Astyanax mexicanus: one gene and its partners. The protein of the gene in region 3 interacts with the protein of the main gene of each other region in a pairwise test. Links are inferred from orthologs where the notes say so. Each region holds a gene or a part of one and is shown on either strand. Other genes may lie near its edges. The genes, in order: regulator of microtubule dynamics protein 2, myg1, type-1 angiotensin II receptor-associated protein and fars2.

Region 1 (7,789 bases), on a different chromosome or scaffold from region 3:
AGATATTATACAAGTTGGAAACACTCAGCCAGCGAGAAAGACAAACTGTGATCTTCAGCTGAGAATTTAGACTGAGCATGGTGCATGGTGGTGGTAGGATCATGCTTTGGGGCTGTTTAATGCCAGTGGAACTGGTGCATAGCACAAATAAATGGAATAATGAAAAGCGCTATCTATATGGTATAACATTAAACCATAAACTATATCAGGCATGTTAAACCTTTGTGGATACAGGTTTTCATACCAGTCAAGCAGGAAAATTCTTCATAATTAGTTTGGACTGAAGCACGTCTGTCACTTTGGATTTGAGGAGGCCCTTGTTTGCTACACTGTGAATAATGAAAAAAATACACACTGAAGTTCGATTTGAGCAACCAGAGCTTCCAGACTGAGACACTCCTGTACACATTATATTGTAATTGCATTTCACACTATCTTAATATTTGGTTCGGATCCAATTAGCAAAAATTTGATTCATGTGGTTTATGGCTGACAATCAGAAATCAATCTGGATAGTAGATACAATATAAACATGCCAAAAATCTGATTTGGGCTGTCAGTCTAAACGTAGCCTTGGACACAACTGGTTTATTTCAGCAGAACAGCAACCTTAAACACACATCAACTGTAGATGTAGAATGGATAAATTCAGCTAACATTCCCAAAGTCCTATACATTCTATATAAATTATGATAAATTTTGTAATGAGTATTTTAATATTAATATTCTCAATATTAACATTTATTTTTCACAAGTAGAACCTTCTCTACTTGAAATACAATTCCTGCAACATATGAAGATAAGCAGATGTGTCCAGGCCCTAAAAAATAACATTAGTAGCCAGTCAGAACAGCCTTGCATGAAATGACAACACAGTTCAAGGTTGATCAGATTAACTATGTGTTCTTGAACTGCAGTCCGGCACACTGTTTTGCTCTGAAGAGAGAGAAGACCTCCAACACACAGCACAATCGTCTGCTCTTGTAAAGTAAGTTTTGGGTGATTTTCTATTCTTGGGTTCACTGCTAACTTATATTTACATAAACAATGTGTATAGATAGTAATTCGTTTGTATATTTTATTTTGTGTTTGTGTACATGTAAGTATTCGGTCATTGAGCAGTTTGAATATAGATTTATGCTATACTAAACTGAAGAACGCAGAGTACAGAGAGTAAAGTTAAAAACACATTTTGTTTCATAACCAGCTGCTGTCTGTTTAAAGTCATTGTCAATTTTACAAGATGTTCATTGAATTATTGCTATAAAGTGTTGTTTCAGGCATGCTGCTCTGACTCAGGTAACAGTTAATGAGTGACTGTAATGAACTTTGCCTTTTTGCTTTGGTAGTTAGGTTTGGAAGTTTAACTATGATGTGGTATGACTCTCATAATTAACTCTAAGTGAAGACATAGGGATCTTCAGGTCAAGCAAGATCAGTTTTCATGGACATAGGAGCTCAAATGCTGCACTTGTTATTGTGAGTGTGTATTATCTATTTTATGTGACACCAATAGCAATAAATTTCACTGCCAATCATCCAATGTCCAAAAGGCACTTTAACTACATCGCAGGGTGATATTGGGTTAAGTAAGGTGGCAGATTAAAGATAAAGAGGGATAAGAGGGATGAAGATTGGTGACACTGTGATTTGTTTTGCTTAGGGTTTGCTTATGTGATTTATAAATTAATAAATGCTTTTGATGTAAAATTGCCATTGTTTGTGTGGCTACATCTGAATAGGCTAACGGAAAGTGTGTTGGCACTAGAATTCATGTTTTATAATGTGAACTGGGCTAAGTGCTTGTTCTTTGGTTGGAAAGTGAGCTGATAAGCTAAATTAATATATTGCCAACGATAATTTTTGTCCGCAATCATTTTTTATCAGATTCTGATAATAAGCTGTTGTTAATATGGGTTAACGGTGGAAGGTGAAAGAAGAGGTCTATCATGTGATAGGAAAACAAGGGTTGTGCTAATGTTGACGACAAATAGGAACAAGTTACTTACTTTCTTAAAAGTCATTACATAAACACATTAACTCTCCATTTAAAGATATGTTTATATTAAAAATACACTGATCTTGACCTAATTAATTACAAATCTAAACTCTACATGAAGATGACATTAAAAACCCACCAAACAAATATTGTGAATAGTAATACTCACTATTGTGCATGACAACAGCTCTGTCTGGTCAATGAAAGGGCTCCACAATACCTCTGAAGGTGTCCTGTGGTGTAGAACAGGGGTGTCAAACTCATTTTGGCCGAGGGCCACATTGGCATATTGGCTGTCCTCCGAGGGCCAGATGTAACTTATAAATATAAGAAAATGTAACCAAATGTAATATATGTAAATGAATGTAATTACTCCTTAATGTTAAATAACTCTCAATATATTATTTATTCAATCAAATATTACAGTTGCATGGAAAAAATGTTTGCTTGTTGCTCTATTAACATAAATCCTGTTATGAAATCCAAAAACTCCATCAATCAAGAACCAAACTATACAAGTGAATAGAAATGACATAAAATACAAGTTATATTAACTTTGATCAAAACGTTTGATACTGAAAAGAGGCTTAATTAATATAAAATCAAAAATTGTGAGCTGTGACAGATTTAGCATTTCCTCATCCAACCACTAGTGGGAGCTGCAGCAGCACAAGCCCACAGTCTTTACTGAGTCAGAGCTACAGCCCAGCCACGGGCTACAGGACTCAGCTGAGCCAGTCTGGAGCGTTTTTAAAATTTTAAGTTCTTCTGTGTATGAAATAAAATAACCCCACTAACCGGATAATACAGCTCTCTACAGTTCATATTTCAGCCCAAGCAGCTAACAGCAGCAGTTTAGAGCAGCCATCCCGGAGTCACTGCTCGGATTACATTATAAACAGGTCAGTTAGCGCGCTGCTAACCTCAGGATGTTTATAACTACGGAGTTTAGTGGACACACCACGGCTGCAAGGTTAGACTGTTGAAGAAATCAGTAAAGGCTGGTTAGATAAGTGATTCACCTCCTCGTCCTTTGCTGAGGTGAAACTGCGACTAGCGATGTCACAGTGATGTTTATTAACCTCATTAAAACAGATTTTATCAGCTATTGTCTTATAAATATTTACACATAATTTATATCTCTTCTAAAAAGCGTTTATTTTCGTCAGTAACACAAAATGCATACCGGTCTTTCGCCTTGAAGCACAGCCGTCCGTCTGCATCAACTTTTCTTTTTCTGGATATTATGGGATAAACATGTCTCAATTCCACCCGCGAAGTTACACCTTCCCTCCGGCAGGGTTTCCACATCAATGACTACACTGCCGTGTAGTGGCAGTAAGCCGTAACTTTGCGGGTAATACAATCGACAAGCATTGTGGGAAATGTATTTTTTGGTCAAAGAACGCTTCTGACCTATTTATTATAGACACTAAGATTTTACAAGCTCTCGCGGGCCACATAAAAAGACGTGGCGGGCCACATTTGGCCCGCGGGCCTTGTGTTTGACACATGTGGTGTAGAATCAAGATATTAGTAGCGGACCCCATAAATCAAAGTTAAGATGGAGATCTGGGTCCTTCATTAATTGTGAACCATTAAACATTTAAAACCATTAACAGCTGCCGGTAATAACATATCCTACTATTTTGTATGATTTATGCAACCATATGTAAACCTTAAACTAGGTCCCACATGGCATGGATTTGGAGAATATGGATTTTCAACACATTATTATGTATTAAAAATTAAATGGCAGATGTTGATATTGTAATGAAATGTTTGGCCCTCAACCCCTTAACATTTTACACACAATAATGAGAAGTTGGACATACTGTATCTTGCTGCTTTTCTCATGTTTCACACCAGAGGAAGTGACATCACTGGGTGCCGGTCACATGCTTTTATTAGAACGGTTTATTCAGTTTAATATCAGAGGTAAAAGAGTTAACAAGAACAATATGATAGACATAAAAATGTACATTTTTAATTAATGAAAATAAATATTCAATTGAAAATAAATATTCTATACAATTGATTTTATAACTGTTATTAGTCACAAAAAGTACATAAAAGATTAATAATAAAAAAGTATACAAAACTATACAAAACCCGCTCAATAAAGATGAATATTTCTTATTATTAAAATAATAAAAAATATATACTTTTGTAAAAAATATATATATTAATAATGAAATTATATTTGTGCAAAATATTTCCTTACAAATAATGATAAAATTATGCTTTTATAAAATATGTATTTAAAAATAATAATTAAATGACACTTTTGTAAAAAAAAAACGCATTTAAATACTAATAATTAAATATACCTTTGTAAAAATCTGTATTAAAATATTTATAATGAAATTATATTTGTGTAAAATATATCTTCAAATATTTAAAAATAAACTAATAAACTAAAAGTAAACTATTTTTTCAAATATTAATAATGAAATTATACTTTTGTAAAATATGTATTCACATATTATTAATATACTTTTGTGAAATATTTTATTAATATTATTAATGAAATTATATTAGTGCAAATATTTCTTTAATATTAACAGAGAAAGAGAGACAGTTATTTCTTATGCAGATCAGTATTTTATGATATTATGAGGACAGTTATGGTTAGCCCCTAGTTTGGTGTCCGTTCAGCGGAACCTTTATTATTTGTATTGTACAGAGGAAAGGCGGAGTGCACTCCGGACTGTTGTTGAAGGTGCACCGTGGCTGTCAGGTGCTGGAGAGTGCTGGTGTGAGCAGTAAGATTAAGGCTGGGCTTTTCTCCTCTTTTTCACTTTCTCTGAGTTTCTCTGAACTGCTCTGCGTCTCTCTGTGTCTGTCTGTGTTTCAGGGCGACACTGTTGTGTATTCGTTATGTTACAGTTTCGTAGTAATCACGCTGCGACCGTCCTGAGGTCAGTTTGGTAGTTACTTAGCGTGGCTAGTTGTAGCTGAGCCCTGTAGGTTAGAGTAGCTCAGTGCTGTAGGTTAGCTGCCCTGTCTGTGTCAGCTTCTGTAGACTCTCTACACAAACTTATTTTGGTTTAAAAAAAAACACACGTTCAGAGACGTTCTCCTTATACAGTTATTATATTTGGTGAACCAGACTGAAATGTGTGCTCTTTAAATACCCAGATAGTAACTAGTGTTTCCTGTCTGGCTGGTCTGTGGATAATCCGGTTTAATCTCTCCTCTCTCACCTATGGAGCCAGTTTAAGACTCACACACCAAACAGTGATTAAGAAAAACTAGGTAAGGTTGTATCCTAGGTCTCGGTTTAAAAACATTAATTTCCATGTTCTCTAAAAGTGTGTAGCACTAATTTTCCAAACCTGTAAAAATGTCAGATAGCTGCCTTTCTGAAATCATTAAACTACAGAAGAGAAAGTAAAGAAGCAGGTTACTTTATTTTAGTAATCTAGTTAAGAATATGAAATGTATATATTCTATAGATATATTAGACGGAGATTGATCTAAAGATGTGTTGTCTTTAAAATAGTATAATTGCTTTGTTATGCTATTTTATTATTAGTATGTTAGTGGCATGTATTTGTCTTAAAATTACAATAATATCGTATATTATCCACACAAAATGACAAAATTGTTATTGTGACCGGCCTAACATCAGCCCAGCATCTGAAAAAAGTTTAAACAGTCCTTAGATATAGACATAGATTCAGCCTCAGATATCACACACTCACACTGTGCTGTCATGCTGTTAGTTTCTCCTGCAGTGTAGTATTATGGAGTGTTTCTGTAGTTTAACTTTGACTACTTATTGTGAGGTGTTCAAATAAAACTAGCTTGTTCTGAGTTTTCCTGATGCTGAAAAAATGTTTTGTGGCACCTTTCATGTTTTCCTCACCATGTTGCAGTAATGATCTGTTATTAGAAGCAGAACTACAGTACACACAGCCTATCTGTTGAATCAGCTCAATGTGCATCACTCACTGTGTCTCCTAAATGATCAAGAAGAGTGCTGCAAAATAATAGGCTAATTATCAAATACATTTGTAATGACATCAAAGCATCTGAAGGCACAATTTTTTTTGACAATTTTAATACTTATTTAGCTTAAAACAGTTGTATCTGTTGGATGAGCCATGTATGATTTTCTTGATTTTCTGTTTGCATAACACAAACCACTGCCATTCATTTTTTGACAAGAACTTTGAAACGTACAGTCTTTTCTTGAGAAACTTAGTATAAGATGAAAGATTGAAACTGAAATGTGTAGCTGTGTTGTTGCCCAAGTCATAAAAACAGGTTCAACTAAAAAAAGCAGGTAGGAAGACAGTTTGACAGTTAACACTTTTAAAAGGTAAATGATTGCTTGATTTTGATATGTTTGGCTAAAAGCCCAAAATACTTTACTTTATTAAATGTGTTATTTTTATTTAGAATTATTTAAAAACTTACAAATGTAGTGCAGCAGAATTGACACTGATTGATGCCTTAGCCAGTGCTAGTATGTTAATCTCTGCCTTAATTATTAAGAAATAAAACACCTACAAATAAAACAAGTACATACTAATAATATATTGAGTAATATAGTATATTTAGGGTTTGGGTATATATTTTGAAGTATTTGTGTCAAGTTTGTATTCACATTCTCTGTCTTTGCAGGATGGCTCAGGCTGATAACAAGGTCCTGGCACTGGGAGTTCTGGCTGGGGCAGCGGGGATCAGCCTGGCTGCTGTCTGGTATCAGAACCGGCGTGCTGTAGCCAGCAGCGCAGGGTCAGGCACTTATCGTCCAGCTCTGTACTCCAGTAGCAATGCGGGCAGTGTGTCTCTGCAGACAGGTCAGGCAGAGGTGTTGGATCGGCTGGGGGCTTTGATCCAGTGTGTGTCTGAACTGAAAGAGGAGGTGAAAGCTCTGAAGGATGCTCTGCCACACCTTCAGGACCACGTGAGGGATGAGCTGAGAGTGAAAAGTGGGGCCCGTAAGGCCAGTCCTCTCAACAGAACCACACCCACGAGGAGGAAAAGAACCAGTGGAGTGCCCAGAGCAGAGGGGCAGAGCTCAGAGGAGGCGGAGAGTGAAGGAGGGTACGTACAGTTTTCTGCAATTTGTCTAAAACAGTTTTGAATTTATCACGACTGTAGTCAACCACAGTAGACTTATCAGTACACATTTCTGAGCTCATATCTAAGCTCCTCTGGTGACTATTAAACACTTTCCAAATAAATAACCAAATTTGATCATGTGATACGTGAATCAAACATACTAACCTTGCACAACCTCTGATCATTTTATTGCTGTCCTATATATGTAGTATATATATATATATATATGTGTGTGTATGTGTAGTTTTTTTTAAACCCCCTGAAAAATGTATCCATTTCATTTTAACTTATTCTTTCTGTGTGTGTTAACTGATTGGCTGTTGCACCATAAATTCCAACTAATACTAAACAAACTCAAGTCAAAGTGAACTTTATTGTACATTAGGCTATACAGCACGGAGTGCATTGCTAATGAGATTGTGTTTCACCAGACTCCTATTTGCAAATGTAACAAAATAAATATATGCTAGACAATTAATGTAAGAAATACATGGAGAACAAATATATATATGAAAAAAAGGAAAACGATTGCACATTATGTGGAATATTGCATTGTTCACAAAGGCAGTGGATACTGGTGGGCAATTGATAAAGTGCTCAAGGTTTGTGAACTGTAAGGCACATAACATTATTTCACAAAAACAATAGCTGCTTTTAAGCACGACTCAGACATGCAGTTTGCACAGTGCTAATCAGAGTGAAGGCCTTCCATTG
Region 2 (7,731 bases), about 24 Mb from region 3:
TCTCAGTAGAGTGCCCTTTCTTGAAACCAGATTGGTTCTGGTCCAGGAGGTCATTTTGGGTGAGGAAGCCAGAGACTTGATTGAGAGCTGCTCTTTCTAATGTTTTAGAAAGAAAAGGCAGTAGTGAGACCGGTCTGTAGTTATCAACCTGGGCGGGGTTGAGAGAAGGCTTTTTAAGCAGTGGTGTGACCTGTGCTTGTTTAAAAGCAGTCGGGAATACACCAGAAGTTAAAGAGGCATCGATCGTGTGAGTAATAGCCGGAATGATTGCAGGTGCAATGGTTTGCAGAAGGTCTGAAGGAATCGGGTCAAGCGGACACGTAGTAGGACGGCTACGTGTTAGGAGAGCCAGTGTCTCGTTCTCAGTGAGAGGAGCGAACGAGGAGAAAGCGACGCCTTCGGTAGAGGGATACCGGGCAGCAGAGCATGATGTAGGACCGCTACATGTCGCATCAGTAAACTGTCTGCTGATAGCTGCCACTTTCCCAGTAAAGAATGAGGCAAGAGCTTCAGCCGTAAGGCAGGTAGCCTGAGGAGGAGGTGGAGGGTTGAGTAGTGTTTTGAATGTAGCAAATAGTTTCCGGGAGTCTGTGAGGGAGCTGATTTTTTTGTGATAGAATTCAGCTTCAGCAGCAGTGAGGCTGGCTGAAAAAGAAGCCAGGAGCAGTTGGTAGTTTTTTAGGTCTGTCTGGTTTTGCTTTTTTTGCCATTTTCTTTCAGCAGCTTCAACTAAGCTTCAGAGTTTGGAGCGTAGTTCCCTGAGCGTGTCATTTTTGAGCCATGGCTGCGGTTTGCTTGAGCTAATGGCTCGAGATGTTTGAGGACAGAGGTCGTCCAAACAGGAGCTTAGTGTGGAGCAGAGAGTGTCAGTGGCATCATTAACATTGAGTGATGAAAATGAGCCTAATGGAGGCATATTGTCAGTCACCAGCGAGGAGTACTGGTCTGCTGGGAGATCTCGAAGATTTCGGCGGAACGAGACCGTAGTAGGAGTAGCTGTGGGTTTTTTCGAAATGCGAACGTTGAGTTGCATGAAGAAGTGGTCTGAGAGGTGTAGAGGAGTGACAGTTAAAGAGTCGGTGTCACAGTTACGAGTGAATGAGCATCATAATGATTAGTATACTTCAGTCTACTTTATTTTCACTAGGGTTAATATATTTACATTGTTCTGTATGTAAAATACATTCATTTTTAATAAAAGCATATATGCAGCTGAAACACTTTAGGGAACCTAATGCAAAATCCCAAATTATATTATCAACATTAACATTTTAATAATAGAACATTATAGTCATTATGGCTTTTAGAAAAAATATATATTTTTTTTTACTTAATTACTTTATTTTTCCCTTTTATTACATTTCTTTTACTTTTATACTTTAAGTAACTTTGAAACCAGTACTTTTTTAAACACTTTTACTTAAAGAGTAAAAGTAAAAAGCTTGAGTTGATACTTTATTTAACTTCTACAGAAGTATTTTATTAAACACTAGTATCTATACTCTATTCTACATACAGAGTAATAACTGAGATTTAATTCTGCATCCTGGTTCTTGAGAATAGTTTATTTAAAAAAAAAAACAATATATATTTACACAGCTCTCTCTCTTACACTCATTTTCCCATGAAATTGCCCAACTAGGCCCCAGGAAGAGCCGTGTCTGCTCATGTTTAACCCCTGTTTAACCCCTCCTGCTCCCATTACTAACATCCGTATGCTGGGTAAACACTGAAGCCATAGACATAACATTCTCAAGACCAAGACTAAAAAAAGAATAAAAAAATATAATGGTTAATTATATATATATATATATATATATATATATATATTTTTTTTTTTTTTTTTTGCCCGACATCCTCCCTCTTCGGAAGTATATGCGATTATTGTGGATATATTACGAAGTAAATTGATTAGGCAAAATAACAAACATAAAAGGGGAGAGAGTGTAAAAACAGGCAGGGCTTTTAACACGGTCCCAATCAGTCCAACGAGTTCCAGCTGGGACCAACCGGGGCTGCGAAGTTTCCCCCACCTTCACATGTCACAGTATACAGCTCTGAAAAAAATAAGTTTCTGAATCAGTTTCTCTGATTTTGCTATTTATAGGTTTATGTTTGAGTAAAATGAACATTGTTGTTTTATTCTATAAACTACAGACAACATTTCTCCCAAATTCCAAATAAAAATATTCTCATTTAGAGCATTTATTTACAGAAAATGAGAAATGACTGAAATAACAAAAAAAAGATGCAGAGCTTTCAGACCTCAAATAATGCAAAGAAAACAAGTTCATATTCATAAAGTTTTAAGAGTTCAGAAATAATCAATATTTGGTGGAATAATCCTGGTTGGTTTTTAATCACAGTTTTAATTTCATGCATCTTGGCATCATGTTCTCCTCCACCAGTCTTACACACTGCTTTTGGATAACTTTATGCTGCTTTACTCCTGGTGCAAAAATTCAAGCAGTTCAAGCATCTTCCTTTTGATTAAATTCCAGATGTTTTTAAATTTGGTCAAATCAAAGAAACTCATCATTTTTATGTGGTTACTTTTAATAGTTTTTGCGCAAAATTAGCTCCAATTTAACGTGTATTTTTACTGGAAATAGATAAAATGAGATTTCAGTGTATTATACCCAATAAAGCTACAGGTTTAGAATTCTGTCTCTGTAACACGGCTAATATATCAAATTATTAGCTAATGACTAAAGCTTTCCTGACTTCCTGAATTCATTTTAATGGAAGGAAGACAGTAATCAGAGCTCAGTGAAGCATGCAGTGCGTTTAATAACCCATAAAGGAGTAGATTAACTCAGGAACTCAGGAACTCTGTTAAATACTGAAACTTCCCGAGGTGTTTCCTGCCTTGTGAAATATATCATCACGTGTCTGTAAGTGTCTGATGTGTAAATTCAAATATCACCATCCCGTATCAGTGAGCTCACGACTACCACACACTGAAGAATGTGAGGAATTCTATTGTGCTAAATTATAAATGGAAAGATAAGCTGTGTGTGAATAACCTGTGGTTATCAGTATGTATAAGATTTCCTCTGTAACAAGACTAAATCATAAGGAGTTCCCACCTGAAAATGTGATATATGTTCACATGAGAACGCATCATGAATAAAAAAAACAAATAACAGACCCCTTAAAAATGATAAGTTTCTTTGATTTTACCAAATTGAAAACCTCTGGAATATAATCAAGAGGAAGATGGATGATCAAAAGCCATCAAACAACCAAACTGAACTGCTTGAATTTTTGCACCAGGAGTAAAGCAGCATAAAGTTATCCAAAAGCAGTGTGTAAGACTGGTGGAGGAGAACATGATGCCAAGATGCATGAAATTAAAACTGTGATTAAAAACCAACCAGGGTTATTCCACCAAATATTGATTATTTCTGAACTCTTAAATCTTTATGAATATGAACTTGTTTTCTTTGCATTATTTGAGGTCTGAACGTTCTGCATCTTTTTTGTTATTTCAGTCATTTCTCATTTTCTGTAAATAAATGCTCTAAATGAGAATATTTTTATTTGGAATTTGGGAGAAATGTTGTCTGTAGTTTATAGAATAAAACAACAATGTTCATTTTACTCAAACATAAACCTATAAATAGCAAAATCAGAGAAACCTGTAATTAAATATATGTATTTCTTTTAGCAAAGGCCGCCCTCTGGTGGATTCATCATATCAACACAATTACAAAAACAACCTCAGACAATGAATGAATGACACATGCCTGCAAAAACATGTTTAAACGCTGTATAAAATGGACATTTTTAAAAGTGCAGTGTTTCATACATTTACTATAATTTTTTTAGGGCATCTCAAAAAATTTAATATCATTAAAAAGTTACTTAATTTCAATAATTCAGTTGAAAATATGAAACTCATATATTATATAGATGTATTAAACACACAGAGTGATCTATTTTAAGTGTTTATTTATTTTATTGTTGATTATGATTATGGCTTACAGGCAATGAAAACTCAAAATCAGTGTCTCAGAAAAAATTTATATTATTATATTATATAAAAACAATTGGTACTTTTGATACGCAGTGTGCCCAATGTGCTGCTGGAAAAAGAAATCCGCATCTCCATAAAAGTTCACTTCACACTAGACCTCGAGCAGTTTGGACTGTGTGTTTCTCCACTCTTCCTCCAGACTCTGCTCCCTTTATTTCCTTTAAATAAAATGTAAAATTTACTGATGATCAGTGATGGTTTGGAGAGTCATGTCAGTCATCTGCTGGTGTTGATCCACTGTGTTTTATTATCAAGTCTAAAGTCAGTGCAGTTTTGTTTTCCCACAAAATCTTACAGCACTTCATATCTTACAGCTTCCCTCTGCTGAGAACAATTTTGATAGACATACGGATTTCATTTTCCAGCAGGACTTGGCACACTGCCCACACTGCCGAAAAAAATACCAATTGTTATTATCTATAATAATATTCTAATTTTCTGAGACGCTGATTTTTGTTCAGGTTTTTTTATTATATCTATTAAAATAGATAAAATAGATCACTCTGTGTGTGTGTAATACATCTATATAATATATGAGTTTCACATTTTTAACCTAATTACTGAGATAAAGTAAGTTTTTGATGATATTGTAATGTTTTAATATGCATTAGTATATTCTGCTGTATCCTCCAGTACAGCAGGGGGCGGTAAAGCTGGTGTAGAAGTTTCTTCAGGCGCTATAGAAGAAGAGTAGAGGAGCGGTGGTGCGCATGCGTGCGGGTCAGGTGTGGTGTGTGTTAGGGATGATCCGATGAGAATATTTCAGTGTGTGTTTGTGTGTATAAACAGAATATCTATAAGAAGAGGTTATATAACTCGCGGGGCTCCGGGGTATAGAGGTTATATGCAGAGCGCTAAGAGAGCCTGTCTGGAGATCAGCACCATGAAGATCGGAACCCACAGCGGATCTTTTCACTGTGATGAAGTTCTGGCCTGTTATTTCCTCAAGCAGCTTCCTCAGTACCAGGTTACCCCTCCTCTACATCTAATACTCACTATTATTCACTATTGTATTAACATATACAGCTCTGGAAAAAATAAGAGATCACTTCAGTTTCTAAATCAGTTTCTCTGATTTTGCTATTTATAGGTTTATGTTGCAGAAAATTAGAAATGTCTGAAATAACAAAAAAAAAAAAAAAAAAAGATGCACAGCATTCAGAAATCAATATTTGGTGGAATAACCCTGGTTTTTAATCACAGTTTTAATTTCATGCATCTTGGCATCATGTTCTCCTCCACCAGTCTTACACACTGCTTTTGGAGGATAACTTTATGCTGCTTTACTCCTGGTGCAAAAATTCAAGCAGTTCAGTTTGGTGGTTTGATGGCTTGTGATCATCCATCTTCCTCTTGATTATATTCCAGATGTTTTCAATTTGGTAAAATTGAACTCAAAAAGAAACTCATTATTTTTAAGTGCTCTCTTATAGATATATTTTTCAGAGCTGTATATATATATGCCACTATAATCGGAAGAGAGAGCTGGTTCGAATCCTGTTCATGCAGCTTGCCATAAGATAAGATAGATAAGATAAGATAAGAAAACTGTATTGTCCATTAAATTTATATTGAATGAAAAATTTGTCTTTGGCAGTCTGGCAGACAAATACATGAAATTACAGAAATACAGTAAGTAAGTAAGTAAAAAATTAAAACAAAAGACTGCCATCAGCTGCCAGAGCTCTGAGAGAGCACAGTTTGCACAATTGTCCACAATTGCTCTCTCTGGGTGGGTACAGTACAGTAGATGGCGCTCTCTCTTTCCCCTCATCACTCCTAGGGTGATGTGGATCAGCACAAGGCTGTGTCTGTGAGCTGATGTATCAGAACCGAGTCGCTGCGCTTTCCTCCGAGTGTTAGCGCTGTGATGCTACTTGGTAATGCTACAGCATCAGCAGCAGCTCAAAAAGAGGCAGAGTCTGTCTTCACATGTATCGGAGGAGGTGTGTGCTAGTCTTCATCCTCCTGGTGTTGGAGCATCACTAGTGACAGGGGGAGTCCTAATGAGTGGGTTGGGTAATTGGCTGTGTAAATTATGATTTTTGTGTAGTTTAAACTTTAAATCCAGTAATTGTCTCTGTGATTCTGACAGGATGCTGAAATAGTTCGGACGCGTGACCCGGTAGTGCTGGAGCAGTGTGACATAGTGGTGGATGTTGGAGGAGTGTTTGACCCTAAAAAGCACCGTTATGATCATCATCAAAGGTAATTCTGTCTGTTTTAGAGTTTAGATTCACCGACCAACCTGAACTCTGGCCGTTATCTCCATTCAATGTTCTGTAAGTAGAATAATGAATGAATACTAGTGTTTAATAAAATACTTCTGTAGAAGTTAAAGAATAATCAACTCAAGCTTTTTACTCTTTAAGTAAAAGTACAATAAAAGTACTGATTTCAAAGCTTATACTTAAACTATAAAAGTAAAAGTAATGTAAGGGGAAAAAATAAAGCCATTAAGAACAAAAGATTAGGCCACGCCCACAGAGTCCTATAGTGCACTACCCCTTTATTTATCTGGATATTTAGATTTATCTAGATTTATCTGGATGGGGGTTTTATTAAACGATGAGAAGCTGGAATGAAATCGAGCTGAAATGAAACAGGAGTAACGAGGCTGTTTTTAAAATGTAAGGAGGAGAAAGTTCAGATAATTGTGTGAAAATTTAAAATAATTATTTCACTAAAGTTAAGATAACCTACATTTCTACTTAAGTAAGGTAATGAAGTAAAAAGCATGAGAGATCAAATCTATTAGAGTGGGTTTTTAGTTACATAAAACAAAAATACAATAGTAATCTTGTTTAAAATGCTTTTTTTATAGACCAGTTTGATTCTAAGGGTATGTTTTCTGTTTAAACCAGGTCTTTTGTAGAGACGTTTAACAGCCTGTGTCCGGAGAAGCCGTGGGTGACTAAACTGAGCTCAGCCGGTCTGGTTTATGTTCACTTTGGTCGGCAGGTGCTTTCCCACCTCACACACCTGCAGGAGGACAGCAGAGAACTGGGAATCCTCTATGATAAGGTTCATTTCTTTAACTTTTCTAACTTAAAATAACGTTTTGTTTGAGATGCAGAAGTACTTAGCATAATTTTTTGACAGTCCAAGTTTATTTGGAGCTTCATTTAAAATGGAATAAATACTCAATTCAATCTTAATTAATCACTCAATTATCTTTCTGATCTCCTGTTTCTCCGTTTGTTTCAGATGTATGAGAACTTTGTGGAGGAGGTGGATGCAGTGGATAATGGGATTTCTCAGTGTGATGGAGAAGCTCGTTACACCGTGACCACATCCCTCAGCGCTCGCGTCGGGTATCTGAACCCGCGCTGGAACAGCGAGTCTCAGGACACTGAGGTTCGTGAGGTTTGAGGTTGATTAGAAGCCTCTGACATTTTTTCTTCAAATTGTTTGTCCAAGAAAATGAATTCAGTTACACACGTTTTGTTATAGACCCTTAATTTCCGTTTATTTCCTTAGTATGTATTGGAACAACACACAAAAAAAAATGAATAAAAAGGCAAAATTGTTAAAATTTCACATTAAATTCAAAATTATGTATAAATAACTTTGTTAACTGAACGGCTTGAATTTTTGCACCAGGAGTAAAGCAGCATAAAGTTATTCAAAAGCAGTGTGTAAGACTGGTGGAGGAGAACGTGATGCCAAGATGCATGAAATGAAAACTGTGA
Region 3 (7,674 bases):
TAATAACTTGAATAATGGCATTTGGAAGTCCCTTGTATCACTACTAGGGGTGACTGACTGTCGTCTGCAATGCAATCCAATCTAGATCATCACAGTAGTTTATCAGCAGTTGGGGTGGTGTATCACTCCACAGCAAAGGTGGGACTGTGCATTTGAGTGCATTGTACAGGCATGTCTATTAATCAGTGATCTCTCACCAAAAGGTATACTGCCCAAAAGTAACCTCTGAAAGCCTTTTTAAAAGGTCAGTGGGAGACACTCTTACATCCTCTTGTGGCTTAAGAGGCCCAGTTTCTAATTAGATCACACCTCTAAGCATTTACATGTGATAAATAATTGAATATCAAGTTTTGCAGGAATTCAGAGTCTGTTAATAAGGAGCTAAATTCATGTCTGAATGCTTTTAAACTAAGAGGTATTTCAGTCATGCGGAAATAATGCTCACTGGCGGATCTGAGACGCATTTGCTCAGAATCTTGGTGTGTGTTTTTGACTTTATCAGTTGTAGCTCTTCATCAGCAGTCAGCAGTTTCTAATATGCACTGTCCTTTGGATACTTTTGGCTGGAGAGCTACACTCAGTTAGTTTGATATGCACAATGAATCTATTCACCCCAGTCATTGGGAATCATCAGAGTTTAATGCCTCTAATAGGGGTGTATCAATCCAACCCAGTAGATCTGGATCAGAGAGTATCAAGAAATGTTTATTTTTTTGGGTTTTAAATGAAAAAAAAATGCTATTTATATGCTAATTATCAAGCAATATACAGTACCAGCCAAAAGTTTGGACACACCATAAATTCAGTAGTTTTTCATCATTTAAATTGTTAGATTCTTTAAAGTAGCATCTCTCGCTTAGATGACATTTTCGCACATCCTGGCTTGATTTTCTTAGTCAGATTCATGAGGTAGAGTCACCTGGAATTCAGGCATTCAGTTAACAGCTGTGCTGAACTCACCAAGCCTTAATTACTTGAATTTTAAGTTCTGAAGAGGTAGAGTTGGTATACAGTGAATAGGCATATTTGAGTAATGTTCTACTCGAAGGCAATAACTACTCAACTAAGTAAAAAATATATACTTTAAGAAATAAAGGTCAGTCATTCCAAAACATTCCACTTATTAGGACCACCCCAGGAAAGGAAGTGTAAGAGTTACCTCTGTTGTAAGTCCATCAAAATTACCAGCCTCTGAAACCGCAAGTTAACAGCACCCCAGATAAAAGCACTTATTTATTTATGTTGATATAATTCCCGTATTGATATATACAGTATAAAAGCCTGCATCCATGGTGTAAGTAACACAATAAACAATATTTATCACAAAAGTTTGACACTCACAAAATGCATCAACAGCGGCAGATTCTTAAAAAAACAGAATTCAACTATTTTATGCACAGCACAGTGATAGTTGCTGCACATTTACCAATTAAACAGGATTTTGAACACTCTCTATAATGAAATGTACAGTTGGGTCATAGTAATTTAAACACTAATTATATGCTCTACATGCTTAAAAAGATCTGACAAGTAAATTTATCATGATACATTTAAATAGTCATGTTGCTTAGCTTCACTTAGTTGTATAAAGTGTTTGAAAAAAACATTCCCAACACAATAAATGTTATATTACTTGTATACATATTTATTTGGAAGATTTCACTTTTCAGCACAAAATTAAAAATTGGTAAAAAAAAATTCTGTATTTTTTTTATATTGCATTGCAATGTAGTTGTTTCTCCCTGCTTTATTCACCTTGCGGCTCTATTTGTATTGCCTCATTTGATTAAAATCAGTGGGATTGACTATTTAGACAAGATCAGCCGTGAGGAAAGTGAAAGCCTTTTTCAATCCAGACATTTATCCCAAATAAAGCCCTGAAAATCCCAACCTCTCACAAACAGACGGAGCAGCTGGGGAAATTCCTCAGGTACGTGAGGAAAAACACCAAGGAGCCACTTTACTCACCAGATAGTCAGCAACCAGTGGACCAGCACGATGGCCTACAACACACACACACACACACACACACACACATGTATAATAAACACATTATATTATAAAATATACAGTACAATGGTAACCTACATATTAATAATAAACACACTATATTATAACACATACAGTGGAATGGTTAACCTATTCTATTGTGGTGAAATATAACAGTAATAAAATATTTTGAGTAAATCAAAACAGATCAAGCTTACAAAGAAAAATTCTACAACTTGCAAATCTAGGTCAATCAAGTTTCCATCAACATTTAATTTGTTAAAAATGTCTGGTCTGTTACTGTCCACTACAGCTTGCCAGGAAGGACAAAGGCATAAAATAATAAGTTATATTAATTTTAAAAAATACTTTCATTGAAAGTTAAACGTATAATAAAATACACTAATATGTGTTTTACAATATACTGTAAACAAGTAATGCAATAGCATCGTAAACCTAACGCTTTAACCTACTCACAATATCCAAAACCTTTAATTCACTTTTTCATATCTTTTCATTGTGAAGATATTTGGTGCTTTCAGAAATAGCAATACAAGCAAACACTGATTCACACTCACACACACACACACACACACACACACACACACACACACACACACACACACACACACACACAAATTCACTAATCCAGTTCAAAGACGTTCACGTGCAACCATAAAGCCTGTTACACATCTAGAACATCATAAAATAACACATTCTGCCTGTATAACATGATTAAATCAGATAAAACACAGCAGATAAAAGGATGGAGATAATGGTTCTAATAGAAACACCTGATGAGCAGAATCTGCTGATAGAATTAATAAACTAATAAAAGCTGACTCTTTAATGCTTCAGCCAGCAAATCTAAACACAGGCTAATGTTTACCTTGAGGTTTATGGCCGGGATTTCCATATTGTGAGCTGTGATTGTCCTCAGCACTTCAGATTGAGACTGGGGGAAAAGTTAGTGAAGTCCAGCACTGTGCTGCTGCTGCTGCTGCACTGCCGGACTCAGCCATGTGACTGCAGCATGACTCCACCACGTGACCCTGATTCCTTCCTAAATAAACGCCAGAGAGCACTGAGGTCTTATACAGCATCTCACAGCCTGCCTAATAACACATTCCACTGATCAAATCAGATAATATCTATCTATCTATCTATCTATCTATCTATCTATCTATCTATCTATCTATCTATCTATCTATCTATCTATCTGTCTGTCTGTCTGTCTGTCTGTCTGTCTGTCTGTCTGTCTGTCTGTCTGTCTGTCTGTCTATCTATCTATCTATCTATCTATCTATCTATCTATCTATTAGGGGTGGGCAATATTATATTGTATACAATTTATCGTAACACAGAAATATCATGATATTAAAAATCCATATCGTGATAATAGAGATGTTCTGTCTTAAAAGTAGTCCATTATTTACTGTGAAGATTTAGGTGTATGTATTATATAATTGTTTTAGTTTAGTTTAGTTTTTGTTTTCAGTTTATATGCATGAAAATATTCTGCAATATTTTTTGCTGCATTATATTATTTTAGGCTATATTATTTATTTTGCCACATTATGATTATACTGTTATACTATTATACTATATTCCTGAAGTTAATGAATTATTTTTTCTGTTTTCCTATATTGCCAAGTATATCGTTATCGAAAAAATACCCTGAAATATCGTACTGTTATTTTAGAGCCATATCGCCCACCCCTACTATCTATCTATCTGAGCGCAATGAAGTCTGTAAATAAAATAATATCTATAATAGAGTCTCTGTTATCCTTACCCATATTATCTGGGCGAGCATATTTCCCTACTTTGTGTCTGTTTCAATTTTATTGCTTTAAAAGTCTTATTCCATAATTTTTAAATTAACTTTAAAATGTCTAGTTGTGGTCTCTAGTATGAATGAATGCCATGTGTGCTGGTTTTTGTGCTCTGGTGATTCGGCATAACTGTGCTTTAGTCCCGTGGAGGAGTGGAGTGGGAGAAACGAGGATTTCTGCTTTTGCTCATTAATATTCATACATGCAAACATATCGTCTCTGATTGGCTAACAGCACTATGACTGCAGCGAGATGGACAACAGATAGAAACATTTTAAAATAAAGACATTTTTACACTAATGACAGTATTTGCAATGTCATATGTTACTTTACAACATGTGTAATGCCCTGCTAAGTCAAGTAAGCCACTGACTTAGACTCATAGTCTCTGTAAAACACAAAATCCACCAGAGATCATATGTAAACACATGGAGGTGGGTAATCCAGGTCCAGAAAGAAAAAAAATCAGCTGAGTTGCAGCAGAGCCGCCCAGGCATTCAGAACAAACTCCTGGGTGCACTTTTTACTTTTAACTAGTGTAAACACACACCTACCTATCTCAGTTGTACTGTGCTGGTGGTATTCTACAGACAAATTCTAACTGTTTGAATAACCTCTGAATTACTGGGGAAAAGCATATAACACTAATATATTATTTACACAAATAATACAGGAACAAACTGCTATGCTGTTTCTAGTCCTGTTAGCTCCATGATGGGCAAGGCCATGAATATTAATTCACAGATTAAGGTAGAGACTGTGCTTTTACTGCTCGACTCGTTTTTCTGAACATTTACTAGCTACTGCAGGCAATGGTTGAGGAACAGTTTCATGTGCAGCATCAATATACAACTCAGAGAGACCTACTGTATTTCACAAAGAACAAGAAAAAGTGGATTTTAGCGGAAAGGGACCTTTAAATTCTTAAAAGATTATATTAAATGTATGTTTGTCTCTACTACTTTCACTGCATGGCCCACAGTAACTATACTTTAAATGTGGTATTTTGGTGACGTTACACGCAATAAACACACGTGCCTGTCAACCACCGATGAAGAGCTCAAGGTACATTAATCTAGATTCAATGTGCCAGTTCGTTTTTGGTGCAATTACCCATTCTCAACAGAGAGGGCCCTCAATCCCAAAATTTATGGACATCAGCTGTAATAAGTGATTGTATATGCTCTACTGTTATGTGAGTGCTGGGATGCATTATTATTTCAACACAATGTATTACACAATTCAATAAATTAATGAATTCATGAAAAGCTTGTGTGCTAGTGTGCTCTGTGGGTGTGGTACTGTCACAGTACCACAGTATTCAGTAAAGATGGCGTCACAAAATCAGTTCAATCCATCAGTGTGTAGTCTTGTCCACTGGGGCTACGCTGAGTAGTCAGCTTTATTATATATTTATTTATTATATATGTTTTGAAACTTTGTGATGTAATGAAAGCTGATTTGAATTTATTTGTTTTGATACAGACTTCAAAGCAGTATATCGAAACACTGTGTTTTTCAAATAAATTGATTTAGTTCAAATCTGAGTTTAACATTACTGGTTGTAGGGCATAAAAGCAAGTTACCGTTTTCTTTACTGCAAAGTGTTATTGATTTTGACTGGCAGAAGGGAAGCAGGGTGATTCTATCTTATACTAAAAGACAAAAAACACAAGCTAAACTCCCTGGAATAAAAGTTAGTAATTAACTGACTGACTAAATAGAAATAACTATTAGCTGAGTACTAAAGGAAAGGCAGCCTTGGTTGACAAGACTACACACTGATAGTGAGTAAGGAGTGGAGGATATGACTATTATGCAAATAAATAATGCAAGAAACCAACAAGGGCCATTACATTTACTTTCATATTTTTAAGTAATTCTGAAACCAATACTTAGACACTCTTACTGGATTAAAAAGCTTGAGTTGACACTTCAACTTCTACAGAAGTATTTTAAACTCTAATATCTATACTCTCTTATCTATACTTATACCTGGGTCATTAATTTCAATACCTATGATAGCTTTGGTCTTCCCCACCTCATTCCAAAAGTATTGGGTGGAGTTCCAGAGAACACAGTTCGACCGCTCCACAGCTCAATACCTCGCATTATATAACACTTCTCTACAGGGACTGGAAAAGCTAGATAGATCAATATATCTATCCACCTTGTTCTTCTTAACATTCTTTCCCTTCAGTTACAGTGATTCATTTTCTTCATTTGTGCATTCTGCTGGTGCACTGAGAGTAAATCTGGGTTTAAATACCTGTGTGGAGTCCCTGAGGCGGGTGAGTTTCAGCCTGTATGTCTGCGCTCAGCTTTATTGGTGGGGAGTCTGTATTTGTGCTTAAATCCCTGGTTATGAGTCTACTGAATTACATTATATCGTGACATTTTATATTCCATCATGGGATCCCCGGAACAGAAATGAGTTGTCCTGTGTGAAATATCAACCATGACAATTCAATTTCTTTCATGTATTGTATTTGGGCCGTGTTATTAAAAAGGTTTGAGCACACAGGAGAGAAAAGGTCTACACAGACTTATCAAAGCGAAAGCAAATCAAGACAAATTTTCATGATCTACTGTCATCTAAACATTAAAATCAGGCAACATTTAAATCATTGATTTGATAAAGCCCCCTGAAGCACAAAATCCCAGAGCCAGGAGACCATCTACCAGCCTACATTTATAAAAAACTCAATTATGAGTGTGATAGACGGATGCGGGTGTGTTGAATTAGCCAGCTGCGCTGTGTATTGTGTGTGTGGCGACAGCTCGTTAGCTGTAAGTCAGTTATGAGCTGTGATTGGATGAATTAGACGAGAGTTGAGACAGAAGGCCGGTTTTGGGGGGTGCTCTCACACCCTGTGGGGATGGACGTCTTTGTTGTGTGCCACGCGTCTGGCAGATGGGACCTGCCTACTCACTCGTGTTCGGTGGCAGGTGTGACCTTTGACCTCCATCTCTGTCTCCCTTGGCTAAACAGTGTTATTGTGTTTAGCAAAAAATCTAATCTACCATTTGTTTCTATTTTGCGCAAATATATTAAATCAGACAATGTTTGGGGTCTGACATTAGTTGAGCTCTGAACCATGTAGTATTCTTCCCTATACTACCCTATTTTTTTTATAATTCACTATAATCCGTTATACTGCCCTGTACTCTGTATACTACCCTATACTTTCTATTCTTCCCTTTACTCTTTTTACTACCCTACACTCACTCTATTATCTTACTCTGTTACTCTCATGTAATCTATATGCTACCCTATACTCAATATTCTTAATACTCACTGTTCTATATTATCCCATACTTACCTGCACTACCTATACTACACTATACTCTCCAAAACGTCCATATACTACTCTCTACTCACCATAATATAAACCCCATACTACCCTGAACTCCATGTACTATCCTGCACTTCCCTATACTCCCATTTTCTACCCTTTATTACCCTACACTCCCTATACTACCTTATATTATGTAAAACATCCCTATACTACACTCTACTCCCCATTCTCATTATATACCTTATACTATCTATACTAACCTTTCCTTTCCATACTACCATACACTCACTCTAGTATCTTTTACTCTCATGTACTCCCCTATACTTAATATAATACTACTTATTTATCTACATTACACCATACTACCCTACATTCCCTATCCTTCCTTATACCATCTAAAATTTCCATATGCTATGCCCTACTACTCCCCATACTCACTATAATTCCTTTTACTACGTTCTACTCCCTACACTCACCTATACTGCACTTTTCATTTACACTAGCCTATAGAACCTTATACTATCCAATACTACCCTATACTACCTTTTCCT
Region 4 (7,147 bases), on a different chromosome or scaffold from region 3:
TATCCATATTGTGATAATAGCCATATTCTGCAGTCTATTTCAGCAGTTTACTCTTATATTGCTTTGCTATTTAATGTGAAGCTTTAATGTTTGTAGTTATATATGCACACACTAAATAGCTTGCACTTATTGTATTGTGGTAAGTCTTTATGTTACATTATATTACATAATTTATTTTGATACACTTTATTATTGTTATTGTTATTATTATTGTTATTATTATTGTTGTTTTTATTATTATTATTATTATTATTATTATTATTATTATTATTATTCTTAATCAGTATTATTTTGTTACATTAGTATATTCATAAAAATAAATGTTCGGTTTAATTGCCAAGAACACCGAAAAAATGTATGTTTAAGGGCCTCGTTTGAATGTGTTGAGGCAGGCTGCATGCGCAGAAGGTTTTCGTTTCAGGGTTTAGAAAACTGTTATTCAAGATTGTCTAAAACATGCAGGCAGGTACAACATAAGCTCTTATCTAGGTCAAGAAACAAGCAATAAGTTATACACAGGAAATAAACAAGAATAATGCCATTCTTGCATTATTACCTCTTTTATAACCTTTGATTTTCTTACCTATGATTTTATGATTCTTACTAAATTATTTTTATCTTATTTATTTCATATCTTATTAAAGTGCTAGGTCTTTTTATTTATTTATTCTTTTTCTTTGACAATCACTTCCCTATGTATTGGCTCAGCTACATTGTAAATGAGGGCCACCCTCAATGTACTTTAAATAAAGGTTGATTGATTGATTAATTGATTGATTGATTGCGGTATAATGGTAATACTGTATAGCACAGTACTAAAACATTTTAACAAGGATGGTTCATACATATCACTCATGAATAACTGATATATCACATATGCTCTATGTCTCGCTACTACAGGCCAAAATACTTAATTCATTCTTGTGCATTTAAGATTGACCCAGAAAGGGGGCACCCACTAAATTTTATGTAGCTCTCTGAAAAGAGGTGGTGGTGGTGGGGGGGGGGGGGTATATATATTAAAAAACGAAGAAAAAAAAACAAAAACAAAGTCCACCTAAGTTGTTATACACTCAGGCAAAGAAATATGAAATGTGTGCCTCAAATCTCTCTGAAGATGGGTTAATCTAGTAGCTAAAGTTATCTAGATAAAAAGCTAATTTCTATATTTGCTCCGTCCAGTCGCTCAATCATCATTCTCATCTAAACAGTTTACTATAAGTAGAGTTTCAGACAGACAGATTGGAGTGTGTTCTGTAAGCTTGCTGGTTTAACATTTACTGTATGTGTTCAATTGGTCTGTAAACAAACTAAACTTTGTATTTTATTTTTTATTTTTTTTTCAGTTTAAAAAGAATCCAAAATTGGATGGTATTGTGGCCAAGTAAACACAGGACTTGGGCAGTTTAAGCAAATCCCTGTTGCTAGTATATAAAAATGAATCTGCCCACCCCCCAGCAGTAAGTCTATTTTTTGGTAAGTCTAAAAAAAAAAACTGGACCAAGCCACCACAATGTATTTTACAGCAGAACCTTTAAATCCGTTGTGGGGTGTGACCTTCATGGATGCAATGACCCTGTTGCCATATCACCACAGCATAATAAAAAATAAACATGTACAGACTGAATATAAGGACACTAATAAAGCTGTTACAATCTAATGCAGCTATATGCTATAGTTTTGTAACTGCTTTACTGAAACAGGTGTGTCCCCCTTTCCCACTTTTGGGAAAAACAAAACACAGCAGCCCATCTCTCACTGTAAGAAAGAGAGGCCACCTGATGAACTTCATGAACTGTTATTTTAATCTGGTCTGCATACAGCCCTCAGACTGTCAATGATACAATGGTACAAAATAAAGCTGTAAGAGTGAAATGCAGCCTAAATACAGGCACAGCTCTTAATCTAGCCCTACACATCGAATCACCTAAAACCAGTAGTACAGGGAAGAATTTATTTAATTAAACACCAGCAAAATAACAATACTAAACACACCTCAAAACCCACAATAAAAGCATGACCCAGGCATTTATTAATAGATGTGGTACCGTCTTTTGAAAATGGAATCCAGTTGGCTTCGAATTCTAACTCTGTTTCACCCTAAACAGTTACATTAAGTGCGGTCAAGGTTATATTATCTTAACATGTGATTAACTTGGAAACATTAAAGTGTTTTTTTAACACAAATATATATATATATATATATATATTTTTTAAACAACTTTGGCCTCAACTTTAACTACTAAATGGGTCAGGGTCTGGGCTGTTAAGGCCCCCTGGCTAATGATCTGCTACTGTATGTGACCTCTGACTGATTCTTTATACGTTTAATTGTTTTCTTATAGATTTTAAAATTGCCCAACAAGAGTTGAAGATTTCTAAATGTACCAATAAATCACAGTGCTCATTAGAAAAACATAGAAAACATGTTTTAATCCTATTTACTGGAGTTTTCCCTTAACAAAAAGGGGATAAACTACAGTGAGTTCTGCTACTTATACGAGTACAGCTATTTTTAATACTACTGTTTCTTCTACTACTGCCAGTACAACTATTACTACTACTGCTAATAATACAAATATGTTTGCTACTTCTACTACTATTGCTAGTACTACTGCTACTACTTCTAATAGTACTACTGTTACTACTGCTAAAATACTGCTAATAATACAAATACTGCTGCTACTTATACTATTATTGCTAGTAATGGTAATACTACTGTCACTACTGCTAATAATACTGCTACTACTGCTAGTACTTCTAATAGTACTACTGTTACTTCTACTACCACTACTACTACTACTACTACTACTACTACTACTACAACAAATACTGCTTATAATACAAATATTGCTGCTACTTCTATTATTGCTAGTACTAATGCTAGTTCTACTGTCACTGCTGCTAATAATACTGCTACTACTGCTAGTACTTCTAATAGTACTACTGTTACTTATACTACTACTACTACTACTACTACTACAGCAAACACTTTTTTAAAATACAAATACTGCTGCTACTTCTACTATTATTGCTAGTACTAATGATAGTTCTACTGTTACTACTGCTAATAATACGGCTACACATACTGCTACCATTCTGTTAGTACTTCTATTACTAATATGAATACGACTGCTAATAATACTGCTACTACTTCTGCTAATACCACTACTGTATGGCTAATAATACTGCTAATACTACTGCTCCTACGTATGCTAGTACAACTGCTAGTGGTACAGTTTTTACCACTGCTAATGCTAATAATACTGATACTTATACTGCTAAACCTTCTTCTACTACTGCTAAACGTGTTATTTTAGTACACCAGTAAATAGAAATGGCCTTATGTTATGGTAAGGTGACGTTTTACCATTTATTACACAATCCTTAGTAGTTTTTGTTTGCATGGGTCCCCCAGAGCTAGGCTAGGCTTCTTCCTAAAGCTTGCCAGTTTGTTTTTTCCCTGTGCATATGTTTGTTTTTACAAACCAAAGCTGGTTTACAAAAAAAAAAAAACGGGCTGTAAAGAATTTATACAAATAAATGAACTTTCTCAATAGTTCTTTTTTTCCTGAAGGACTTTAAAGGAGTCTAGCTAATGAGCTTACACAATATACTTCTGACTGATTCGTGTACACTTATATGGGCTTTAAAGTTTCACAACAAGAGCTGGAGATTTCTAAAGGTACAAAGTAACCGAGAAATAAATAATAAACACAGAAAACACGTTTTAAAGCAAATTATTGGAGATTTATTTAACAGAAAGGGGATAACTACAGTGAGTTGTGTTGTCAGTGAAAAGAACCCAGACTCCCAACAGCTCTACAGTCTACACACCCACCTCACACAGCCCCCGCGCGCAGGGCAGGTGTGTGTGGTGGGGTATTAAGGGGGTAAATTGTGTAAATACCTGTAGTTATAGGAGGGGAAAGCCCTGCTCTCCTTCAGCAGACTCCGGTACAGAGACAGCACCTGCGCTCTACTGGACGCCGCCATCTTTCCCACAAAGGCGACTAAAACACTGCCTGAACAGAAAACCCGCCTTTATCGCCTCTCGCGCTCCGACTGCGGAGCAAATAAACAGTTTTATAGTTTAAACAGGCTGTAGAAATAAAGCGAATTCAGATATTAATCAGTGTACAGCGCTGAGCGCGGGGCGGGTGTGTATATTGATCAGGCTCGCGCGCAGGTGAGGCGTGTTTCTGACAGGCGGCGGGTCTGAGAGAGGTGAGTGGGACAGTCTGAGGGCTGCATGTTTATTAACTTAATACTGTTATTATTTATATTATTCACCTCCTCCTTCTTCTCTAAACTCACAGCTCATTTATACTGCGCGTTCAGAGCACAGCCCGGGTTCAGCTCCGTTCTCTGTGTGTTTATAGCTGTGTTTACTGTGTTTACTGTTTACAGACTGACTGATAAACTCCACTACTGTCACTGAGATATTATATATATATATATATATATATAGTTAGAGAGAGAGAGAGAGAGAGAGAGGGAAAGTGGGAGAGAGAGAGTGAGAGAGAGAGGGAGAAAGAAAGAGAGAGAGAGAGACAGAAAGATGCACACATAGAGAGAATGTGTGTGAGTAAGAGAGAGAGAGAGAGAGAAAGAGACACTTTTGACTTTTGGCACGCTTTATTTTACTATTAAAAATTTACATTACACAAAAAAAAAATAAAAAAGGGTCAAACTAAAATAAGTGGCTTTTCTATTTTTCTGTGTGCACAAGACCAAATAATCTTCATTAAAAAACTAAATCAATTTTCAATCTAATCTTTATCAGAGTTTTAAGCATGTCTCCAGCATCCTGAGAGCCACCCTCCTTCAATTTGTTCTTCCTAGACAGTCACACAGCAAGCTTAGCCTGGCCAGTATCTCTCTTTGTGAAGAGAGAGAGAAAGGGACACAGAGAGAAAGTGTGTGAGTGAGAGACAGAGTCTGAGCAAAAGAGAGACAGTTACTGAGAGCGAGAGACTGTGTGTGGGAGAGAGAGACTGCGAGAGAGAATGTGTGTGAAGGAGAGACAGAGTCTGACTGTGAGAGAGCGAGAGACTGTGTAGGAGCTGGAAAGACAGAGGTAGAGAGACTGAGCACGAGATTGACAGAGAGACTGAGAGAGAGACTGAGAGAGAGAGACAGATAGAGAGACTGAGAGTGTGTGTGTGAGAGAGACAGATAAAGAACCTGAGAAAGTGTGTGTGAGAGAGAGACACAGGGAGACTGAGATAGTGTGAGAGAGAGAGAGAGAGAGAGAGAGCATGAACATGTCGGCACGTGTTGAAGGAGTTTGTGAATGTGACTGTTTAGTGAATGTTTTCACTTCAGCATTATTAAAAAGCATTTTGCATTCAGCATTATTGAAATATATTGACATTGAAAGTATGTAAACATATGAATATTACCAGTTAAAAGTAGGATACACCTTAAATATGCTGTTTGTTTTTTCATTATTTAAAAAGTTGTATAAAACAATATCCTTTGTAGATTAATACTAAAATCATACGACTAGGGTTGCAACGGTATGAGATTTTCACGGTATGATAACCGTCTCAGAAAATACCGCGGTATCACGGTTATCACGGTATCACAGTTTGTTACATATATTATTAAACTGACCCTTAAAGAAATTACAACAAAGGTTTTTTGTTCAATTAACTATTTATTGTAGAAACCTGGAACAATTATAATTTTAATGTCTCCTTAAAAAAAAATAAGCTGTATACCATCAGGTGAAGGAAAAATTTTTTTTCCACTACTCTTAAGGGCATTAAGAGTGTATATAAAAAAAATATATATAAATATATATAATATATATACACACATACACACACGTTACACACATTACATGTCCTCTAAGAAGTAAAGATCCTGTGTTTAAACTATTCAGTACAATTATTTAAGTTTAAATTATTTAATATCTGATAAACTGAGCCTGGGTCAGTGTCTGATCAACAACTGTTGTAAACGTCCGTTTTACTGCCAAGTTGGTATATAACCAGATACTGCAGAAAGAGGGGATTTATTTCTGACATGATCCTCACAATAGAGATTTCTATTTTAAGGCTTTCACACCGAGTCTGGTTTTAACATTTGAAAAACAGGCACGTCAGAATTTGAAAATGAACGCATGTAAATGAATGGCGTCTTTCACATCCAGTCCGGCCAGGACCTTTACACGGACACGTGAATCCATCGTAGCACGCACTTCACGCCTGTACCTGCGTGCCCAAATTTCGGATAACTCAGCGCTTTTGCGGGCGCTTACTGCATGGGTTGTGCACGACTACAAAGAGGTTTTATTTAGGTTCAGATTAAAATTATAAGCTAAACACATACTTTGCGCTGCACAGCGGGGTGGTGTTCTCGGAGATGGGAGAACAGGTTTGACGTATGTCCACCTTTAGCTGTGACTTTACGGCCACATTGATTACAAATCGGATAACCATCCTGCGTTCGGCGGGTATCCGAAATAGTCCCACACTGCTGATTTTAGTTTAGCCTTTTTTTAGGCGGACGGAGATTTGTTTAGTCTGATGCACTTTCTGTTGTTCTCACCGCTGTGTGCTGAGCAGCTGAAGCGGAGCAGAGTTGCGCATGCGCGGGTGAGTTTCTCCGCTGGCTTGCGTTTTACCGGTAATAAGCAAACACACACGGTATGATAACCGTGCATTTTAATACCATGGTATACCGTGAAACCGGTTACCGCTGCAACCCTACATACGACCTATGGAGAAAAACACATGGATTTAAGTATTAAACAAACCAGAATATGTTTTATATTTTAGATTCTTCTAAGTAGCACGTCTTGGGTAGATGACAGCTTTGCATATCTTGGCTGAATTTTTTCAGTCAGCTTTATGAGGTAGAGTCACTTGGAATGGCTTTCAGTTAACAGCTGTACCTCGTCAGGAGTTAATTACTTAAATTTCTTGCCTCTTAATGTGTTTGACTGAAATCTGTTGTTCTTTGTTGAATACTGATGTGAAATAACTGGCTTACAGCTTGTTAATCTGCTGTGATTTGTGTTTTTGTAGCCTGTGTGTATGGACATTAGCAATAAACTCGGTTCTGAGCACAGTGTTTAGTGGTGCTGGGCAGTAATGTCTATTAATGGGGCCTTAAAAATGTCCACTAGGGCTGGACC

The links.
Region 1: the proteins of type-1 angiotensin II receptor-associated protein (region 3) and regulator of microtubule dynamics protein 2 interact in binary tests that used the Homo sapiens proteins (3 or more experiments, as listed by UniProt). The two-hybrid records come from large-scale screens. The link is inferred for Astyanax mexicanus from reciprocal best matches to the Homo sapiens genes AGTRAP and RMDN2.
Region 2: the proteins of type-1 angiotensin II receptor-associated protein (region 3) and myg1 interact in binary tests that used the Homo sapiens proteins (3 or more experiments, as listed by UniProt). The two-hybrid records come from large-scale screens. The link is inferred for Astyanax mexicanus from reciprocal best matches to the Homo sapiens genes AGTRAP and MYG1.
Region 4: the proteins of type-1 angiotensin II receptor-associated protein (region 3) and fars2 interact in binary tests that used the Homo sapiens proteins (3 or more experiments, as listed by UniProt). The two-hybrid records come from large-scale screens. The link is inferred for Astyanax mexicanus from reciprocal best matches to the Homo sapiens genes AGTRAP and FARS2.

What each region holds. Positions count from the first base shown.
Region 1 is NC_064414.1:41,539,057-41,546,845, reverse strand, and holds the start of regulator of microtubule dynamics protein 2, read left to right. Parts: upstream 1-4,770; 5' UTR 4,771-4,879; coding exon 4,880-4,920; intron 4,921-4,939; exon of another isoform or gene 4,940-5,257; intron 5,258-6,631; coding exon 6,632-7,057; intron 7,058-7,789.
Region 2 is NC_064431.1:32,591,013-32,598,743, reverse strand, and holds the start of myg1 (UPF0160 protein MYG1, mitochondrial), read left to right. Parts: upstream 1-4,730; 5' UTR 4,731-4,790; coding exon 4,791-5,006; intron 5,007-6,134; coding exon 6,135-6,247; intron 6,248-6,903; coding exon 6,904-7,063; intron 7,064-7,246; coding exon 7,247-7,396; intron 7,397-7,731. UniProt on the Homo sapiens protein: 3'-5' RNA exonuclease which cleaves in situ on specific transcripts in both nucleus and mitochondrion. Involved in regulating spatially segregated organellar RNA processing, acts as a coordinator of nucleo-mitochondrial crosstalk.
Region 3 is NC_064431.1:8,274,883-8,282,556, reverse strand, and holds the start of type-1 angiotensin II receptor-associated protein, read right to left. Parts: upstream 3,017-7,674; 5' UTR 2,906-3,016; coding exon 2,879-2,905; intron 2,004-2,878; coding exon 1,969-2,003; intron 1-1,968. UniProt on the Homo sapiens protein: Appears to be a negative regulator of type-1 angiotensin II receptor-mediated signaling by regulating receptor internalization as well as mechanism of receptor desensitization such as phosphorylation.
Region 4 is NC_064413.1:47,016,066-47,023,212, reverse strand, and holds the start of fars2 (phenylalanine--tRNA ligase, mitochondrial), read left to right. Parts: upstream 1-4,146; 5' UTR 4,147-4,227; intron 4,228-7,147. Other genes in the region: LYR motif-containing protein 4, read right to left, coding at 3,911-3,996. UniProt on the Homo sapiens protein: Is responsible for the charging of tRNA(Phe) with phenylalanine in mitochondrial translation.